Linked DNA regions of Mus musculus. The protein of the gene in region 1 interacts with the protein of each later gene in a pairwise test. Links are inferred from orthologs where the notes say so. Each region holds a gene or a part of one and is shown on either strand. Other genes may lie near its edges. The genes, in order: Bcl2l13, Pln, Tmem86b, Plp1 and Gabarapl2.

Region 1 (3,514 bases):
CCATATGAAAAATGGCGCTAAGGGAGGCATCCTTTGACGCTTAATAATCACACTCTGTGTGCATGTGGCCCTGGCCTGCCTGGCATTTGTGATTCTCTGTCTCTCTGTCTGTCCCCCCCCCCCCCCAAGAAAAAAAAGAAGAAAACAAAGTGTGTATTGGGAAGTGGCCAGGAGAAAATTGCTCATGAAAATTCTTGCTCAACTTTTACAATTTTTAAAAATTTGTCTTGTGTGTATGGGTATTTTGTCTGCATACCACATGTATGCCCTTGACCTGGAGTTACAGATGGTTGTGAGCCACCATAGTGGTTGTGAGCTGCCATGTGGGTGCTTGGAATTGAACCTGAGTCCTTATCCCCTCAGGCACCTCTCTAGCCCAGTTTTTATACTTCTTAAATTTAATTTTTATGTGTATGGGTATTTTATCTTCATTGCTTCTATGTACTACTTTTGTGCCTGGTGCCTGCTGAAGCCAAAGATGGCATGGATCTTCTGGAACTCAGTAGCAGACTGGAACTCAGTAGCAGACAATTGTGAGCTGCCATGTGGGTGCTGGGAGTTAAATCCAGGCCCTCTGTAAGAGCAGCCAGTGCGCCTACCCTATGAGGCAGCCCTCTGGCCCCTTGCTTGGTTTCCATGTCCTATACATGACCACAGCAGCTAGTAAAGATCTTCATCTCTTTCCTTTCTGAATTGAACCAACACCCCCTGAATCTGAGCGTGTTCCCTTCTCCCCACTCCTCTCCTGCATACTTCCAGCCGTTGAGATTCAGAGGAACCTCCCGAAGGCTAGGCTCATCCTCAGAAGCCGGCAGGCTCAGCAGCACCTCTTCTTTATTTGTTACCTGTTTGCTTCTGAGAGAAAATCTCACAGTGCAGCCCTGACCAATGCCTGTATAGTACTGTGTATTATATTAGAAATTAATGTATAATCATTGTTTTATTATATACCTATTTCCTTATATACCATTGTTTTGTTAGTTTTTTGGTTTGGTTTGGTGTTTTGTTTTCTGAGACAGGATTTTTTGTGTGTATCCTGGGCTTTATTACAACTCACTCTGTAGACCAGGCTGGCCTCGAACCCACAGAGTTCTGCCTGCTTCTGCCTCCCCAGTGCTGGGACTAAATCACACTCCTGGTGTGATTTTTTAAAAAATTTTTATTGTGTGTCAGTGTGAGAGACCACTAGTTATAGATTAAAGTCCTTATTTCTAGCTCAGTCACTCATACTGAACTTCCTCCTCCCCATACACAGTGCAGAGTAAGCAGTTAGCTCTTCCCTGCCAGCCCTTTGGAGCTCTGTGCTTTGGCTGCCGTGTTCCTTCTTGATGGCCATTACTGCGGGAATGCCATGATTTTCCATATTTGCCTTCTCACACCCACAGACCCGTTGTATAAGCTTGCACTAGCACTCGGTCCTGGCAGGGTACTCGGTGGCAATACCTTCAAGAGTGCAATATCTCATTTCCATTTTCTCTGCTGACTTGAGTTAATTGGCTGTATATGATACACAATGAATATCAATTTATAATTTTTTAGTTTCAAGGAAACTAAAATTCTAAACTAAAAATTCTGCCATTTAGCAGGCTGTGGTGGCACAGGTCTGTGATATCAGCACTTGGAAGGCTGAGGCTGGACAGAATATTGAGACTGTTGGGGGAGAGAAAAGGTGTGATCATAATATATTGTATGGATAATCTTTTTTTAATTAAAAGAAAATGTTTAAGGGGGAGGGGTATTTTGAAACCAACTCTAGTAGAAGCATTTTTTTTCAAAAAAAGGAAATAAAGTAAAACTCTTTTCCACATTTTCCTTCAGATGGGTGTTCTCTGCTCAGACACTGTAGGGATCCAGGAGTTTATTTACTCCTGAAACTGAGGTTAGCTAAGAATGATTTTCCTAGGTTAACACGTTCTCACTGTTAACGGTCTTTGTGTGGTCCCCTCTTGTGTTTTAGGGCAGTGTCTTTAGTCTTGAGCCTGAGGAGGAGGAATACCCGGGGATCATTGCGGAAGATAGCAATGACATTTATATACTGCCCAGTGACAACTCCGGACAAGTTAGTCCCCCTGAATCCCCGACAGTGACAACATCCTGGCAGTCGGAGAGCCTTCCCGTCTCACTGTCTGCTAGCCAGAGCTGGCACACAGAAAGCCTCCCGGTGTCGCTCGGGCCCGAGTCCTGGCAGCAGATTGCAATGGACCCTGAAGAAGTGAAGAGCTTAGACAGCAGCGGGGCTGGGGAGAAGAGTGAGAACAACTCGTCCAACTCTGACATCGTGCACGTGGAGAAGGAGGAGGTGCCAGAGGAGGCCTTCCCGGGAGCGGCTGCTCCCTTGCTCACACAGGTCCCTACCGTGGAGGCCCCAGAAATGATGAGAGCTGAGAAAACGAGCCCCACTCCGTCTGTGTTTGTGGAGCTTGGTGAGGAGGAGCTGGAAGCAGTAACAGCGAGACCCGAGGCTGTGGAGAGGGCGGAGGGGGCCGCTCAGCTGAGTGAGGAGAGAGCCGGGAGCAGGAAAAAGAGCCACACTGGGGAGGCCGCCGCTGTCAGGGGGGCAAAGAGTGGCCTGCCCGCCGAGGGCAAGGCCGTACTGCTCTTTGGTGGGGCTGCTGCGGTGGCCATCCTGGCAGTGGCTGTTGGAGTTGCACTGGCTTTAAGAAGAAAGTAACAGTCTTTTCAGATGAGACAAGACAGAAAGACCTACGGCTTTAGCTGTATTCACTGGAACTTAGACTGCCAGCAGCTACTGGACATTTGCAGGACACTGGAGGAATTGGGCTTTCAGCTCAGCGTGGCAGTGTCTTGAGACAGTGTTCACATTGGCCTGGTTGTCATTTTAGGGCCTTGGCTCATGCTAGATTCAGAAGGGCAAGAGTGAAACTCCCACCTCCAACAGGTTAGTCAACTTGGGCAGTAATTCTCTGTAGGAGGCTGCTCTGTGCATTATGTAATGATCGGCAACATCCCTGCCTTCTACCCACTAGATGCCACTGGCACCCACTTACAGTGATGGTAGCCAAAAATGTCTCCTACATTGCCAAATGTCCCCCGTGGACAAAGTCATCTCCCTTTTGAGGGCCACTACTTTAAGGGATAGGGTTCAATTAGGAGACTCTGGGGGAGGAACCTGCAGCTGGGACGGCCTGCTGTTCATCCTGTTGCAGTTTCTCGGGGCAGGTGAGCTGACCGTGCTCTGCAGCTGTTTTCTTTCTGGTCCCCATTCTGTATCGTGAGGTGCTCTCTCCCGCATCACACCACCTCTCAGGTACTGCAGCAGGGCAGTCTCACCCTGTACTTCTTTCCCACCCAACAAGCTCCCGAAGCTCCCCACGGCTCCATCTTTCAAAGATGATGCCTTTAGGGACCTTTAAAATGATAAATACCCAGTCCAGGCGTGGTGGCACCTGCCTGTATTTAGGAAGCGGAAGCAAAGAGATTATCCCAAGTTCAAAGCTAGCCTGGTATATATACCAAGACAATCTGGGGCTGTTTGGTGAAACCTTGTCCCAAG
Region 2 (2,921 bases), on another chromosome or scaffold:
CCAGGACAGTGAGACGCTCACACATGAGAGACAGAAGAGAGGCCTTGGGGACTGGAGAAGGGGATGGGATTTAAAATACAGCTGAGGAACGAGCTGCTGCAAAGCTGTGCATATCTACCCAGAGAACGGGTTTAGGTATGAACCTAATCTGTTGACTATTTTTTACATCCCAGGTCTCCTAAAAGAAGACAGCTCACATTTGGCTGCCTGTTGTCAACTTTTTATCTTTCTCTTGACCACTTAGAAAAACTTGTCTCCCTACTTTTGCCTTCCTGGCATAATGGAAAAAGTGCAATACCTCACTCGCTCGGCTATCAGGAGAGCCTCCACTATTGAAATGCCTCAGCAAGCACGTCAGAATCTCCAGAACCTATTTATCAATTTCTGCCTCATCTTGATATGTCTGCTGCTGATCTGCATCATTGTGATGCTTCTGTGAAGAGCTGCCGCCACTCCAGACCTGCAACATGCCAACTCAGCTTAAAGCCGAGCACTCCGTCATGGGGGAAGCAACGCACCGCTGCCTTCCGGCTGAGAACAGCTTTGTGAGGGTCACGATTAAGAGTGAAACTAATTGTTAGCCAGTGTATTCATCTGCTGGATCTTGTAAACAAACTTTACAGTGGCTAAGTGTGCATAATGTAGCTGCCAATTTCCTCAACATGGCTCATAAATTTCTTTCCTAAATATTTCTGACAATGAAGTATGAGTTTTAATTTTGAAACACCACTACCAAAAAAGTTCACTTTCTATATCCAACTCTAGCAAGGTCACTTTATAGCTCCAGTCTGGGGAATAAATGGAATATATACTGCATTGCCACTACCTTTTTTATAGGAACTAAGTGTTCTTCAGTTCTCCACAAAGTAGAAAATAGTCATTTAAATGAAGTGTTCTTATTGAAAATAGCTCACTGGGTCCTCACATAGATGACACAATGATGACGATGATGATGATGACGACGATGATGATGATGACGACGATTCAAATCTCTTGGTCACTACTGTCAGAACAAATACCTTGAAAAAATGTTGTGCCCTTTTTCTACACACTAGTATTTTTAAGCTTATGAGAGTTAAAGGGGGAAATGTAAGAACATATTCTCATATAAAATTATTCACTAATTTTGCTCAAGGGCTGTGTACATGTACATGTACATTAACCACAAATCTGCTCTCTCTAGGGTTTGATCAACAAGCAGGAACATCTTGCTGTGTTGGCTGTGATAATCACTAAAGATCCAGAGTCTCACCTGAAGCTTGTCGCTCTCATGTATCTCCTTGGTTTAATAGCGTTTCTCAAATAATGAAGATAACAGTAATAACCAAGCTGTAGTAAGACACAGCTCTTTCTTTTCCTGATCTCCCAGAGAGGAAGTGGTTGTCCCCTAACTTTAGAAGTAGAACTAGAGAGCTAGTGTATAATTCTTACTGACCATGGTTTCAATTTCCCTTTCTAAGTTTCTACTATCTCTCAATAACTACTAAAATAGAAGCAAAAAATAGATTGGAAAATATATTCACCAAAATTTAGTGACTTAAACTGGATCAAGTACAAAACAGTTTATGCCTAACTTTGCAAACCCACAATTTTTAAGTCCAGTTCAAAACATGCTACTAACATAGCAATTATTAAGGAAGAGAATTGTAATTAGATATATTTTCCATAACCATTACTACAAAGACATAAAACATCAGTATTCACTTTGGTCTTTAGCAGAGCAGCTGAAGGCTGCTGATTTAAACTGTTTGAACCCCTGGTAGAAAGGAAGCTGTTCGGGTTCAGAAATTATCTAAAGAGTAGCCCCTAAAGGAGTCCAATGGTAACAGGGGGTCTCTTCATAAAGGCTGGAGGGGCCCATCACAGAAACTATAAAACATGGATGACATCATCTCTAACTCAGTGGTATTTAACGTTCCCTTTCTGACGCTGTGGCCCTTTTATATAGTTCCTCATGTTGTGGTGATACCCAACAATAAAATCATTTTTGTTGCTATTTCATAACTGTAATTTCGCCTCCTTACCTCCACTATGAATTGTAAATATTTTGGAAACAGGTTTGCATGAGGGGTTGCAACCCACAGGTTGAGAACCACTGGTAAGAGGTCTGTAAAAAATACATAAGTTGTGTAGTTGGCCATGCTGAGAGAAACGTGACGCTGAAGCTGAAAAGCACCAGGCATTTGTTATATTGCTCACTACCACATCAACTTCAAGGTATAAACTGTCAGCTCATAAGGCTCTTCTCATTAAACATTTAATGCTGCCTTTTACATTTTTAGTAGTTTATTTGTAGTTTATCTGTAACTGTTTATCTGTAAAATGAAATTGGAATGACCTATATTCAAATGGAGTTTTGATTTTGGTGAAATTACTATACAATTATATTCTATTGACTATAAAATGTTGTCTTGTTACAAAGAGTTTTGTGTTATAAAGGGCAGAGTGGGGGAACTTTTACCAAACAAAGTAAAAATCAAGATTTCCAGAGAAAAACACAAAAGAGGATAGGCCTACACATAATAATATTTTTTAGCCTCCAATTATTTTGAGTCTTCTGGCAAAGTAGGAGTGCAATCAGTAACATAAGAAGGCTTGGTTACACACTAATACCAGATTTTTAATGTCTTGAAAGGACATGATAAATTATATAGACATGGAAATAGAGATAGACAAATCAATCCGTAAAGCATGTATCCACTAGCAGATGCTTTAAGCTACCCACTATGTCACAAACTGTGACTGCATGTGTCATAGTCACCTCCTCAGTATACAGATTGTCTCAGCTAAAGAGTTAAAGATAAAACAGCATGAAAAATAATGAAACTAAGAAAATTTTCTTTTTAAAAAAACATAAGAAAATCCGAGTTACAAGCCAGACTTTTTCATTCACAATTCATTTCGAAGAAGTCTTTTATGTT
Region 3 (4,202 bases), on another chromosome or scaffold:
TTGAGGGAGGAGTAAGAAAGAAAGCCAGGACAATAACTGGGCCAGCAGCTCTGAAGCACACCTTCCCCGTCTGTCCCAGTAGGGGCTGGCGCTGGGGTTGGAGGCCGCTGGCCTGTGCTCTGGTGCAGATGCTCTTACCCAGCTTCACTCAGGACCACCTTGGGGTGTAACAGAGGGTGTCATCCGGCCCCTGGCCCTGGGGAACATCCCTAGAGGCCCAGAATGGGGGTTGCTGGGTACCCCATGCCCTGAGGGTTCCAGCACTGCTGCCAAGTGGCCTTGTCCCAGCTCCCCCTGCCCCCCCCAAGGCTGGTGTGAGTGTGCAAGTATGTGTGCAGAGCTTGTGTTTCATACTGCAGATATAAATAAAGGAAGATAGCAGAACATTCCTGCTGTGGGACTGTGAGTTCTGGGACTCAGAGTTGGGTGAACTTGCTCTTCATAGCCTAGAGAGCTACATTCTCTTAGGACCACACTTGTGAGAGTGTGTGTGGGTGTAGGGGATGGGGAATACTTAGACATCAGGCAGAACATCAGGAGTTAGCACTCTGGGGCGCTCTCATCCTGATATGTGTACCTCCGTGGCCCTGTTCCAAAATGCAGATCAGTTAGGGCTGTGCTGACTCAGCTCTATCCTCTAACAGGCCTGCTAAAAGGAGCAAGAGGTCCCTGGACTTTGGAGCTGAGCGTCCTGCCATTACGGGGATAGGAGGCACCAGGCATGTGGTGGTGGCAGAGGCAGAGGCAGGTGGATCTGTGTGAGTTCAAGCCCAGCCATGTCTACAAACTGAGTTCCAGGACAGCCAGGGCTGGGCAGAGAAACCCTGTCTCAAAAACAAAGGTGTGGGGGCTGGTGAGATGGCTCAGTGGGTAAGAGCACCCGACTGCTCTTCCAAAGGTCAGGAGTTCAAATCCCAGCAACCACATGGTGGCTCACAACCATTCGTAACGAGATCTGACTCCCTCTTCTGGAGTGTCTGAGGACAGCGACAGTGTACTTACATATAATAAATAAATAAATCTAAAAAACCAAAAACAAAAAACCAAAGGTGTGGGAGAGATTAGGAGACAGGAAGCTCCCTTGAGAATGGACATACAATGAAGCATCCCTAAGGGGGATGGTTGAGGAACCTAGTAGTTTCTTGGCATCCAGTAGGTCCCTATCTTGTTCATGGGAAGGCTGCAGAACATGAGTGTACAGTGGTGTGGTCGTCCTTCCTTCCAGGGAATGTTTGAATGACTTCAGGCACAATGCAGGATTTATTTAACCAGTGTTTGTGGCAGGACCCCTGTTTTCCAGGGTTGGTTGTAGGGCTACCCCTCTGTGGAACTTTGCATTGTTCCTTATAATTGGCTGGGTGTGAGACAATGGGAGTTCCACTTTGGGGGAGGGGGCTCACTTTTGGAGGTGGTGGCCAGGTTTCTAAGTGCTGGGGGGTGGCCCTTGGTGCCTGATGGGTACCTTATCAGCAAGTGCCAGACAAGAGCAGGCCTTGCGTGAGCCCTGTTATCAGCCCCAGAGTCCACAGGACACTTGGGTTAATGTGTAACCACAAGACTTCCCTCTGCCCTCTGAAGCCACTGGCTCCTAAAGAGAAGCAACTCAGCATGGATGCTAGAAAAGAGGGGCTGCCCCTGGAGACACTCTTTTCAGACCAAGTGAGAACCTGTAAGGTGGGGATGGGCAGGTCTGGGAACATGGGCAGTACTGGGGCCTGTGATTCTCTATGCTTGGTGAGTTGGTGGGGATGCCCTGTCCTTCCAGGAGGCTGGGTTCTAAGGTATCGTGGTTTTGTCCTTGCAGGAGATAGGAATGAAAAGGTTCTCAAGGTGGCTAAAGATCCTAGTCCCGAAAGTCCAACCTGGACATGCTTGGGTCCTGGCATGAGGGTGGTGTGGGGGATGGCCGTTAAAATAGGTTCTCACTGGGTATCCTAGACAGGTTTTGAAATCAACAGCCTCCCGTTTCCACCTGCTAAGTACTGGAATTAGACATTTCCTACAGTGCCTTGCAGTGACCCCTCCCCCAGGACTGGCTGCGAATGGGAGGGAGGCTGAGAAGCTTCGCTCTCTTGAAGTACCCACAGGTCCGCAGGTGGCTGGCCCCCTTCATCCTTGCCTGCTCCCTTTACTTCCTCCTCTGGATTCCTGTGGACCAGCCATCTTGGGTCAGTGCCCTGATCAAGTGCCAGCCCATTCTCTGCCTGGTTGTGTTCCTGTGGGCTGTGGCCCCTGGTGGGAGCAGCACCTGGCTCCTGCAGGGAGCTCTTGTATGTTCTGCTGTGGGAGATGCCTGCCTCATCTGGCCTGAAGCTTTCTTTTATGGTGAGCAGGGGCTTCTATGACAACACACCTAGGGTTCTTGTGGAGTTGAGTCAGTACTGGGACACAGCTTTTCATTATATGGAGCCCTCCCTCCCTAGGTCCTCTGGGTTATCCAGAGGTGCCAGAAGGCAGTGATGGGTGACAGCATAGCTCACAGTTCAGCCAGGGGCTTGGAGTCAGACTGGTTGGAAGATGTGGGATTACCTGGTTGGAAGGGGTGGTGTGGAGAAAATTAAGGTGTAGCATGACTGAGGTGGGTGGGGGAGGTAAGGAGTCATTTTTGAGATGTCTATATATGAGGGCTGGTCTGAATGGCCTCAAATGTTGGATCCTCCTGCCTTAGTTTTCTCAAGGGCTAGGATTACAGGAATAAGGATATGTAGCTGTGTAGATGGGAAGTGTGGCCATCCTGGGCATGGAAAGTGCATGTGGAAAGGACCTGGGGTAATAGTGTATGAGTTACTTTGTCCAAATGGGCCAGTTTGGCTAGAGTAGGATGGGGAAAACAAGGGTATGGGGCTTCCCAGAACACGATTTGGAAAGACAGGTACTTGAGCAGAGCAAGCACATGATGCCATGCATCTTAAGGTTATCACCATTGCTTTGGGAACTGATTGAACACCCAAGGATAAGAAGAATTTGGAGACCCATCAAGAAGGAGTGCTATAATCAGCAGATCACGATGGAGCTGGTGCTTTGGGGGCACTGTTCATGTCTGGTTGTGGCCAAGACAACAGGGAGAAGCAGGAGGCCAATTGGTGCCCACCCTACCTCACTGAGTTCTCATCCCTCTCTTCTTCAGGCACGGCAGCCTTCTCTGTTGCCCACTTATTCTACCTCGGGGCTTTTGGCCTGACCCCACTGCAGCCCGGATTGCTGCTGTGCACCACCTTGGCCTCTCTGACATACTACAGCTTCCTCCTGCTACACCTTGAGCAGGGCATGGTCTTGCCCGTGATGGCCTATGGGCTGATCTTGAACTCCATGCTGTGGCGCAGCCTTGTCTGGGGTGGAAGTGCTAGCTGGGGTGCTGTGCTCTTTACATTCTCAGATGGTGTGCTGGCCTGGGACACTTTTGTCTACTCTTTACCTTTTGCCCGCCTAGTGACCATGAGCACCTACTATGCAGCCCAGCTCCTCCTCATCCTGTCGGCTCTCAGGAACCCGGGGCTCAAAACCCACTAATGCAGGCCTCAGACAGCCTGGTATCCCCTCCCATAGGGACCTTGGCTTTCCACACTGACCCAGCCTGGCAAGTGAATGCTTCCAGTCATATGCTGACAGATATGTGGCCATCTTTAACATCTGTATACTGTTGGCAGAATTTCAGATCTACCACTGATTTCAAACTGCCTTCCCTGGCTTCTTCTGGATTCCAGGACCCTCAACCCAACCCATATCCTGTCTTCCCCTCCCCATGCCCACTTCCTTTTCCCAGTCAGCCTTTCCTATCCACCTGCCCCTTCACACTGCTCCAGATCTGGTTCTAGCTGTTTAAGTAAAATGAGTGTTGGAACATCAGTGTCACCATTATTTGGGAGGAATGTATAGGGGGATGATGACAGTTCTAACAGCAAGCATGGATTTAGGGGAAAAAAAATGATTTAGGTGTGAGTCTTAGGGTTTCTATTCCTGGATAAAACATCATGACCAAGAAGCAAGTTGGGGAGGAAAGGGTTTATTCAGCTTACACTTCCACATTGCTGTTGATCACCAAGGGAAGTCAGGACTGGAACTCAAGCTGGGCAGGAAGCAGGAGCTGATGCAGACGCCATGGAGGGATGTTTCTTACTGGTTTGCTTCCTCTGCCTTGCTCAGCTTGCTCTCTTATAGAACCCAAGACTACCAGCCCAAGGACCACCCACAATGGGCCCTCC
Region 4 (4,133 bases), on another chromosome or scaffold:
TTCTGGAGTCCAGAGTTGTAGGTCCTACTCAGTTTTCCTCCTCTATTGTCTCTTATCTCAAGACAAAAACCACAGGACAAGTTCAGGAGGACATACCTTATTTTTTAGAGGTATAGAAATGACAAGTTCCACAACTTTCCTTAGAGCCATTCAGCAGTAGAATCTTGCTTCTAAATCAAGAGGGTTATGAGTGTGAGGCTTCTGAGGTGAGAGAGAAGATAGACAAAGAAACCACATAAGCGCTCCTTAAGGTGCACCTGTTTTAGAAAGGACTAGAAAAGTTTGCCTAGCTAACATCACCTTTTATATTTGGTTCCTTCACAGACGTCAGAAATCACTCTTACCATTGTAAATGGTTCACAAATACTTCCCCTCTTTTTACTGCTTGGCCATATTTTTTCATAGAATCCTCTTTGAGACAAGGACTGTATTTTCTTTCTCCCCCCCCCCCCAACTCTGACTGCTGCTTTCCCAAACGCTCCTTCCGTCTCCTTAGCCTCATCTTCACTCTGATGGGAACACTATTTCCTGGGAAGAGTTTTGACTAGCTGCTTGCCAGTTTGTGATAATGTCTTGTCTCAGAGTTCATTTTCCTTGAAAATTGCCTACATGGTCCACTCTGGCCTTTTTGTCCCTTGTGACCTTGGCACAGGTCTTGCCCTCTCCTTTGTATCTCTGTTATCCAAATGTACTCTCATTGCACGTCTGGCTTTTTTGAGCCTGGTCACACACAGTCTGTTCATAGAATCAGCAGCTGGTTCTATCTGCATTCTTCTAAAACCAAAGCTTTTGAAGAAATTATTTTAAATGACTTTTTTTCTTCCCCATTGTGTTTCCAGTGCCAGGAAGAGAAAGAATGCTTTTTTTGCTTACAGAGGAAAGGAAAGGTTCCATGGTCAAGGGCAACGAGCAGTGAGAGTTGGGTGCGGTGTGTTTGGTAGTATAGTAAGTAGGCTTTTGATTCAGACCCCCTTCTCATCAGGGCTACTATTTCACATGACTTTACATGCTCAGACCCAGGTATGACACATTTAAATGGACCCAAGGATCATTTGGGAGGATTCAAGAACCCCTCCATTTAATTTACACCCCTAATTCACACTTCCTGATTTATTTAAAGCAAAATGAAATTCTAGAGAAGCTTTAGGGGGGAAAAGAGAGAGAAAGAAAAAAAACAATTGGGAGTGAAAAGGCATAAAGAGAAGATGGAGCCCTTAAAGAAGGGAGTATCCCAAAGGAGGTGGGGACAAGGGGAGGAGAAGGGGAGGAGGAGAGGAGGAGGGAAACGAGCCTGTCTCTTTAAGGGGGTTGGCTGTCAATCAGAAAGCCCTTTTCATTGCAGGAGAAGAGGACAAAGATACTCAGAGAGAAAAAGTAAAGGACAGAAGAAGGAGACTGGAGAGACCAGGATCCTTCCAGCTGAGCAAAGTCAGCCGCAAAACAGACTAGCCAACAGGCTACAATTGGAGTCAGAGTGCCAAAGACATGGGTGAGTTTCAAAAACTCCAGCATCAAAGATGCAGGCACAGGAGTTCAACTTTGGGGCTTTGGGTTTCCAGTGGCTTAAATAAGTTGTGTTTTGGCACTTATTTTCTGTTTTAATTTCTTAGCATTTAACTGTATTAACCCCTTCTCTGCTGTGCTGAGCATACTGCTTCACTGCCAACGAATCCTGGCAGTACATGTGGTGTCTTCCAGACCTTTGGAAAATGCACACAGGTTGGCTATGATCATGTGGCTTCTTACCCCTCACTTCCTTGTCCTCTCTCCTTTCCCCGATCTTAAGGCCCTGATTATGGTCAGGTTGTGTGGGACCCCTTGTTCTGCTGGAGGCAACTTGAATATTGACTAAGCTACAAATGCATTAAGTACTTGCTTCCCTGATACAAACTTCAAAGCATGTTTTGCATCAGTAGGATGTGGAGGAATGGGGAAAATTGGACTCAGACTTGGCAGTGCCTATAGTGGACATTCCAGGTTCAGAAAATGAAAATACAGTTCACAGTGGTTTTACCATGCGGAATAGATATGGATTGTATGTGCTTGTGTATGCTTGTGTGTACGGATGCATGTGAGCACACACATATAGGACAACATTTCTAGTATCATGGACTTACCCTTAATCCCAGATATAACAAGGAGGCTTCTATCTAAAGGCTTTTGTTAAGTTGTCTGAGACCTGAGGGTTTTTCTATGTTCCACAACTATGGAAGATGTAAAATTCTGCTGTCCAGCAGTGCCTGTTCAGAGTAAGGTGTGTGGGGCATAAGGGTCTTTGCCTAGGTAAGATGCTGCAGAGATAGGTACTTATTGCTCACATGTGGGGAAGATAAAAGTAGCAACTTGAACACATCCTGAAGGAGAGGAGATTCAGTTTTCCTGTGTGTTCACCGTGCAACTTTGTAACCAGTAAAAAGATCCACAGAAGTAGTTTTTCAATTAGAAACTGAACTGTTGTTAACCTTGGCTTTTTTCATCTCAAGTCACTGAGGGAACTGTTACAAGTATATATGTAGGCAGGATAGTTAAGAGGGTGGCGTCTTAGACTACTGGTCCAAACAACCAGGTTTGGATCTCAGCTCAGTCTCTAAGGAACTCTGCAAAATTAGGCATGTCACCATGAATCACCATTTCATCATCTGGTAGACAGGGGCAACAATAACTGTTTTGTCTACTTTCAGGGTGGAAGATCAAGTAATAAGGATGTGGCAGCCCTGTCAGTGTAGAGAAGTCCTATAAACCCTGTAAATTCTGATGACAACGACTACTCTGCACCAGTGCATATCTAGGCTAACCCTTCCTCTTTGCAAGGTTGTCTTTGTGCATACCTTGTATGTAAGAAACATTTGATCTCGTAAATGTAGCAAGATGGGAAAAAGTCACTTCCTGCTCTGGACCCAGGAACCCTATCTAACATTCATGTGGCTGATTAAATAGGTTGTTCTTTCAAAACAGAGGAGGAGTGTAAGTTGAATTACTTCCTCAGGGGATAAGGCCCTGAAGAGATAAAGACAGGAAGAGAGAAAATGACCAGAGGAGCATGTTCTTGTAATGGAGGCTGAATGATCTCCCCCAGAGGATGTGGATGTGGGTGGGTAAGCAATACATGGACTAGGGATACAGGACAGAATAGCCACTGTCTCTGCAATCACTCAGTAACACAGTATCTGAGACCATGTGAATTTTCAGCCATTTCTGACCAGGCAGTGGAATGCTATTGCTTCTGATGTGGAATGCTGTTCAACCCTTGCAATAGACCAGTCAAATCATAGAGTTTGGAATTGAAAGGAACATTGGAACGTATCTGAGGTGGAGTTCTGTGTGGTGTCACATGCCTTTAACACCATAGGAAACTGAGATGGGAGAATCATTAGAAAAGGCTAGCTAGACAACATAGAGAGACTCTGATTCCAAAAGAAGTTGTCTGAACCAACTTTCAATGCAGAATTCATTTCTCTGACTAAGATAAATATACATATGTCTCTGCTTAATCGCCTCCAGAAACAGGCAGCTTATTACCTCAACCAGAAAATCTCTTAGGATTGGAACTGAGCAAGACTATTGGGTCCGGTGATACCTGAGCAAAAGGGTTATGGGCTGTGGAATAGCTTGGCAAGGAGACACTTCACATGAGTCTTTGGAATAGCAACGGAACTGAGAAAGCCAGAGAGCCATAGTGAATATTTTTCTGCTCAGTAACAATGCCATCAGTGAACAGCAAGACACCTGGTTCCTCGAGCTTTTTGTCATCTGAGAACAGCAGCCGTTACCCTGGCAACCAGACTGTGCATCTTAGATGCTTCCCTCTAAGAGTGGCTTGAAAGTACAAAATGTGGAGGCAGAGCAGAGGCTGAGAATTCTACTAGGTACCTGAGGACTATCTGGATGCCATCAAAGGCACCACAAGAAAGCTAAGACTTAAGAAGAAAGCAGGTTTAGACCAGTACATTAAAGGACTCTTCCTAGAGACGCTGACTGAAGTGATCAAGGGCAGCCTTCACCACGCCACTTCTTACCTTGCTCTGCCTAGCTAGAAGCTCTTGAAAGACTAGAGAGATTAAGCAATTTGCCCTGCTTTGAGGGGCTTTACCTTAGCCCTGAGCCAGGACCCCAAGAAACCTAGTCAACAATAA
Region 5 (4,104 bases), on another chromosome or scaffold:
GCCCTGGCTGTCTGGGAACTCACTCTGTAGACTAGGCTGGCCTTGAACTCAGAAATCCACCTGCCTGCCAAGTACTGGGATTAAAGGCATGGGCCACCACACCCAGCTAACACAAAGTTTTAAAAGTTCTTTAAATTAAATTTTTTTTTCCTTAAGATTTTCATTATCTTCCCTGCATCTGGGTGTGTATGTGTATGGAGGCTTGCCACAGTGAATGCCTTGAGGCCAGAAGATAACCTTTGTAAACAGGTTGTCCTCCATCACTTGGGTCCTCAGGATTGAACTCCGTCTGGCAGGCTTGGCACCAAGCGTTTTTACCTGCTGGGAACTGAGTCTCTCCCCTCCCCCCAGTGGAAAATAACAAATACTTTCAGAATGAAGTTATAGCCACAGCATCTATCAGGAATTTCAACTGTAGGGAATGATTGATGACAAGGTTCAAACACTGGCTCTACAGATGCGGCAGATCATATAAGCACGTGGTCAGGTGGCCGATTAACTGCATATTCATGTTCTGTGTTCACCAGTGCATAAACAGATGGTGACCCAGAGCCGACTTCCTGGATGACTATGCTACGACTTGGACAGGGGTGGAACCTCGAGGCTTGTGCCTAGGGCAGGTGACACCCACAGCTCAGGGTTAGTGCCGAGCCACTCCCACTGCCAGCTCCTTCTCCTAGGGTGTCTTATGACCAGCTCTCCCAGGAATCCTCCCCGCCTGACACTGGCACTTCGCCTCTGACAGTTTCCGATAAAGAATCTCTGTGATCAGGGATATTCCGTTGACTAAATGAGTATGTGTGGTACTTGTTCATAAGTGTTCATGAATGTTTAAAATATGTATTCGTGAGTGGGAAGTGAGATTTGTTTAAATCAAATTTTAGGTGCAACAACTCCTATACTAGACCTCTAGGTGGTCACCAGTACTCGTTGCACACAGCGCTTGGAACAGGTTATCCCTCCATGCCGAGCTCCCGCCTTCTCACCCAGCCAAAAATTAATATTCATTTCTCCTTAAGCCCCAGACTTCCCCTTCCAGAGCCCTTTACAAGCGTTCCAAGCTATGAGCCATGACCTGCCTGTCATGCACAATCCTGAAACTCCATTCCAGTCACTAATTCCTAAAGTCTCCACTGTCACTCACAGACTTCCCAGCCACCTACGTCAGTCTCCATTCCCAGGAGCGCTCCTAGGTCTCCGCTTAGGCTCCGCCCTCTCACGTAATCGTAGCCTACTGAAGCTCTTACCAGGCCCGCCGGAAGCCCCGCCCCGGGAGGTTGCTAGGCTCCGGCAGCCGGAAGTCCCGCCTGTGGAGTAGTCGTCGCTGCCGCCGCCGCCTCCGTTGTTGTTGTGGTCGCTTCGCCGAAGTCCGCGGCTCGAAGAGCCGGCTCCGTCGCTTCCCGTCGCCATGAAGTGGATGTTTAAGGAGGACCACTCTCTGGGTAAGCGCGGTCGGCCTGCGGGGCCCCAGATCGCGGCCCCTCCCCCACTCCCGCCGCCCTGCCGGGCCCGCTGGGTCGCCAAGGCCCCGGCATCCTGGCGCCTCCCACGGACCCGTGTCGCCCTACGTGGATCTCGCTGGGAGTTCCTGAGGGGATCTGTGGCGAGGGACTCCGGGGCTAGGACTCGGGGCGTACGCACGCAGGCAGGTTGCGGGCGGAGAAGGGCGGACAGGAAGAAGGGGTTCCGGCAGCGGCGGCCCTGCTGTCCGGCAAGTGCGAATGTCAGCCTGGTTTTCTTCTTCCCCAGAACACAGATGCGTGGAATCCGCGAAGATCAGAGCGAAGTACCCCGACCGAGTTCCGGTGAGTGTGGACTCCCCGCCCCCTCACCCCGCTGTCACCCTTAGCGTCTAGGAGAGGTGTCGGGCGGGCGCGCTAGGCCGTGCAACAGTTGAGAACTTAAGGTCTCAAGGTGTAGCCCAGAGACCGAGGACAGCCTGGGGTTCCGCCGGCCCAAGCTTGGGGCTTAAGGGGCTGGTGCTGTCCAGGGGCACCAGTGCTGAATCTCCCGATCTAGGGCAGCAAGCTGCTTGCAGCCTCTCGGCTCCCTCACCAATTATGTAAGGAACCGTGTTCTAGGACAGGGCAACAGGTCACTGCCACTTTGGGGAATGATGGTGGAGGGAGACTGGCATTTGGGGTTGGATACGGTAGCATCCTTTCAAGGTAGTCATCTTTAACGCTGGACCTTTAACTTCGAGTTTCTCTTTACCCTGATTCTGCCATCCTTGTTTGACTAACAAATCTGAAATGCTCTCGTTTTGCCTCTAATCAATAAGTATGTTGCTTTATTTCTGCTTTCTGCCCTAGTTGGGGCGATCGTTTCTGATATCACTATTGATTTTTGAAGGACATAAAGTCTTACTATTGTAGTGCTTTGCTTGTAAACAGTCCCTTTGAGAAGCAGGAGGATAAATGTTAACTGTTCAGAGAGAAGCAACAGGCCAAATGAAAATGTCGGCTCTTGGGTGGCTGTAGTTGTATAGCTTTGCCCTTAGTTCATCCATTTCTTTCCAGTGTTGTTGGGGATTGGAATGCTCTAACAGGGTCTATCTATGGATCAAAAGATGACAGATGAAACCCTAGCCAGATCAATCTTTTCATCGGCCTAGATAAAATGTTAGAGAGCTACCCTTGCAGTGGGGTGGCACGTGCCTTCAGTCCCAACATTCAGGGGTCAGAGGCAGCTGATCTCAGAGTTTGGGGACAGCCTGGTCTACAGTTCCAGGACATCTGGGACTAACAGAGAGACCCTGTCTCTGGAAGAAGATAGAAAGCTTTGTAGCTGTGCTTCTCTTACAAACGCTGAGATCAGAAATGAGGAATATCAGTCAGCTCTGGGCCTCCAGAGCGGGGCTTCTTGAGCTGTGGGCATATTGATTTACTCATCTGTGCCGTTTCCCACACACTGCCTTGTCCACACTCTGCTCATCAGACTGGAGCAATCAAGCCCTGTGGGTAAGTGCTGGAGCTCGCTCTCCCTCGCCGTCCCTCTCACAGTGCTGGGAACCAGGTAGCAGCCTTTGTGGATTCCAGGCAAAAGTTGCTCTGTGGAGGACTGGCCTGAGCTTCTGACCCGTCTTTCCCAGGTGATCGTGGAAAAAGTCTCGGGCTCTCAGATTGTTGACATAGACAAGAGGAAGTACTTGGTCCCCTCGGACATCACTGTGGCTCAGTTCATGTGGATCATCAGGAAAAGGATCCAGCTTCCCTCCGAGAAGGCCATCTTCCTGTTTGTGGACAAGACAGTCCCACAGTCCAGGTAAGAAGTGTTTGCTAGCTGGGCCTGTGGCTTGGAAATCCATTCGCCGCTTATAAAACTCAAACCATAGGAGGTGTTCTTAGTACAACTTCTTCCTTTCCTTTTCCTTCCTTCCTTCCTTCTTTCCTTCCCTCCCTCCCTCCCTCCCTTCCTCTCTTTCCCTATCCCTCCCTCTTTCTCTCTTTTGGTTTTTCAAGATAGTTTATTTCCTCCTTTTTTTAATTAGATATTTTCTTTATTTACATTTCAAATGTTATCCGGAAAGTTCCTTATACCTCCCCCCATGCCCTGCTCCCCTACCCACCCACTCACACTTCTTGGCCCTGGCGTTCCCCTGTACTGAGGCATATAAAGTTTGCAAGACCAAGGGGCCTCTCTTTCCAATGATGGCCAACTAAGCCATCTTCTGCTACATATGCAGCTAGAGACACAAGCTCTGGGGGTACTGGTTAGTTCATTTTGTTGTTCCACCTATAGGGTTGCAGACCCCCTTCAGCTCCTTGGGTACTTTCTCTGGCTCCTCCATTGGGGCCCCTATGTTCCATCCTATAGATGACTGTGAGCAGCATCCACTTCTGTATTTGCTAGGCACTGGCATAGCCTCACTGAAGCTATATCAGGGTCCTTTCCGCAAAATCTTTCTGGCATATGCAATAGTGTCTGGGTTTGGTAACTGATTATGGGATGGATCACTGGGTGGGGTAGTCTCTGGATAGTCCATCCTTTTGTCTTAGCTCCAAACTTTGTCTCTAACTCCTTCCATGGGTGTTTTGTTACCTATCCCAAGGATGAATGAAGTATTCACACGTTGGTCTTGCCTCTTGATTTTTCTTGTTTTGC

The links.
Region 2: the proteins of Bcl2l13 (region 1) and Pln interact in binary tests that used the Homo sapiens proteins (3 or more experiments, as listed by UniProt). The two-hybrid records come from large-scale screens. The link is inferred for Mus musculus from reciprocal best matches to the Homo sapiens genes BCL2L13 and PLN.
Region 3: the proteins of Bcl2l13 (region 1) and Tmem86b interact in binary tests that used the Homo sapiens proteins (3 or more experiments, as listed by UniProt). The two-hybrid records come from large-scale screens. The link is inferred for Mus musculus from reciprocal best matches to the Homo sapiens genes BCL2L13 and TMEM86B.
Region 4: the proteins of Bcl2l13 (region 1) and Plp1 interact in binary tests that used the Homo sapiens proteins (3 or more experiments, as listed by UniProt). The two-hybrid records come from large-scale screens. The link is inferred for Mus musculus from reciprocal best matches to the Homo sapiens genes BCL2L13 and PLP1.
Region 5: the proteins of Bcl2l13 (region 1) and Gabarapl2 interact in binary tests that used the Homo sapiens proteins (3 or more experiments, as listed by UniProt). The two-hybrid records come from large-scale screens. The link is inferred for Mus musculus from reciprocal best matches to the Homo sapiens genes BCL2L13 and GABARAPL2.

What each region holds. Positions count from the first base shown.
Region 1 is NC_000072.6:120,884,721-120,888,234, forward strand, and holds part of Bcl2l13 (bcl-2-like protein 13), read left to right. Parts: intron 1-1,957; coding exon 1,958-2,671; 3' UTR 2,672-3,514. UniProt on the Homo sapiens protein: May promote the activation of caspase-3 and apoptosis.
Region 2 is NC_000076.6:53,343,584-53,346,504, forward strand, and holds the end of Pln (cardiac phospholamban), read left to right. Parts: intron 1-173; 5' UTR 174-280; coding exon 281-439; 3' UTR 440-2,416; downstream 2,417-2,921. UniProt on the Homo sapiens protein: Reversibly inhibits the activity of ATP2A2/SERCA2 in cardiac sarcoplasmic reticulum by decreasing the apparent affinity of the ATPase for Ca(2+).
Region 3 is NC_000073.6:4,627,679-4,631,880, reverse strand, and holds Tmem86b (lysoplasmalogenase), read left to right. Parts: upstream 1-1,398; 5' UTR 1,399-1,542; coding exon of another isoform or gene 1,543-1,608; coding exon 1,609-1,659; coding exon of another isoform or gene 1,660-1,674; intron 1,675-2,078; coding exon 2,079-2,325; intron 2,326-3,127; coding exon 3,128-3,510; 3' UTR 3,511-3,841; downstream 3,842-4,202. UniProt on the Homo sapiens protein: Catalyzes the hydrolysis of the vinyl ether bond of choline or ethanolamine lysoplasmalogens, forming fatty aldehyde and glycerophosphocholine or glycerophosphoethanolamine, respectively and is specific for the sn-2-deacylated (lyso) form of plasmalogen.
Region 4 is NC_000086.7:136,821,429-136,825,561, forward strand, and holds the start of Plp1 (myelin proteolipid protein), read left to right. Parts: upstream 1-1,329; 5' UTR 1,330-1,485; coding exon 1,486-1,489; intron 1,490-4,133.
Region 5 is NC_000074.6:111,939,411-111,943,514, forward strand, and holds the start of Gabarapl2 (gamma-aminobutyric acid receptor-associated protein-like 2), read left to right. Parts: upstream 1-1,292; 5' UTR 1,293-1,408; coding exon 1,409-1,442; intron 1,443-1,749; coding exon 1,750-1,805; intron 1,806-3,091; coding exon 3,092-3,264; intron 3,265-4,104. UniProt on the Homo sapiens protein: Ubiquitin-like modifier involved in intra-Golgi traffic. Modulates intra-Golgi transport through coupling between NSF activity and SNAREs activation. It first stimulates the ATPase activity of NSF which in turn stimulates the association with GOSR1.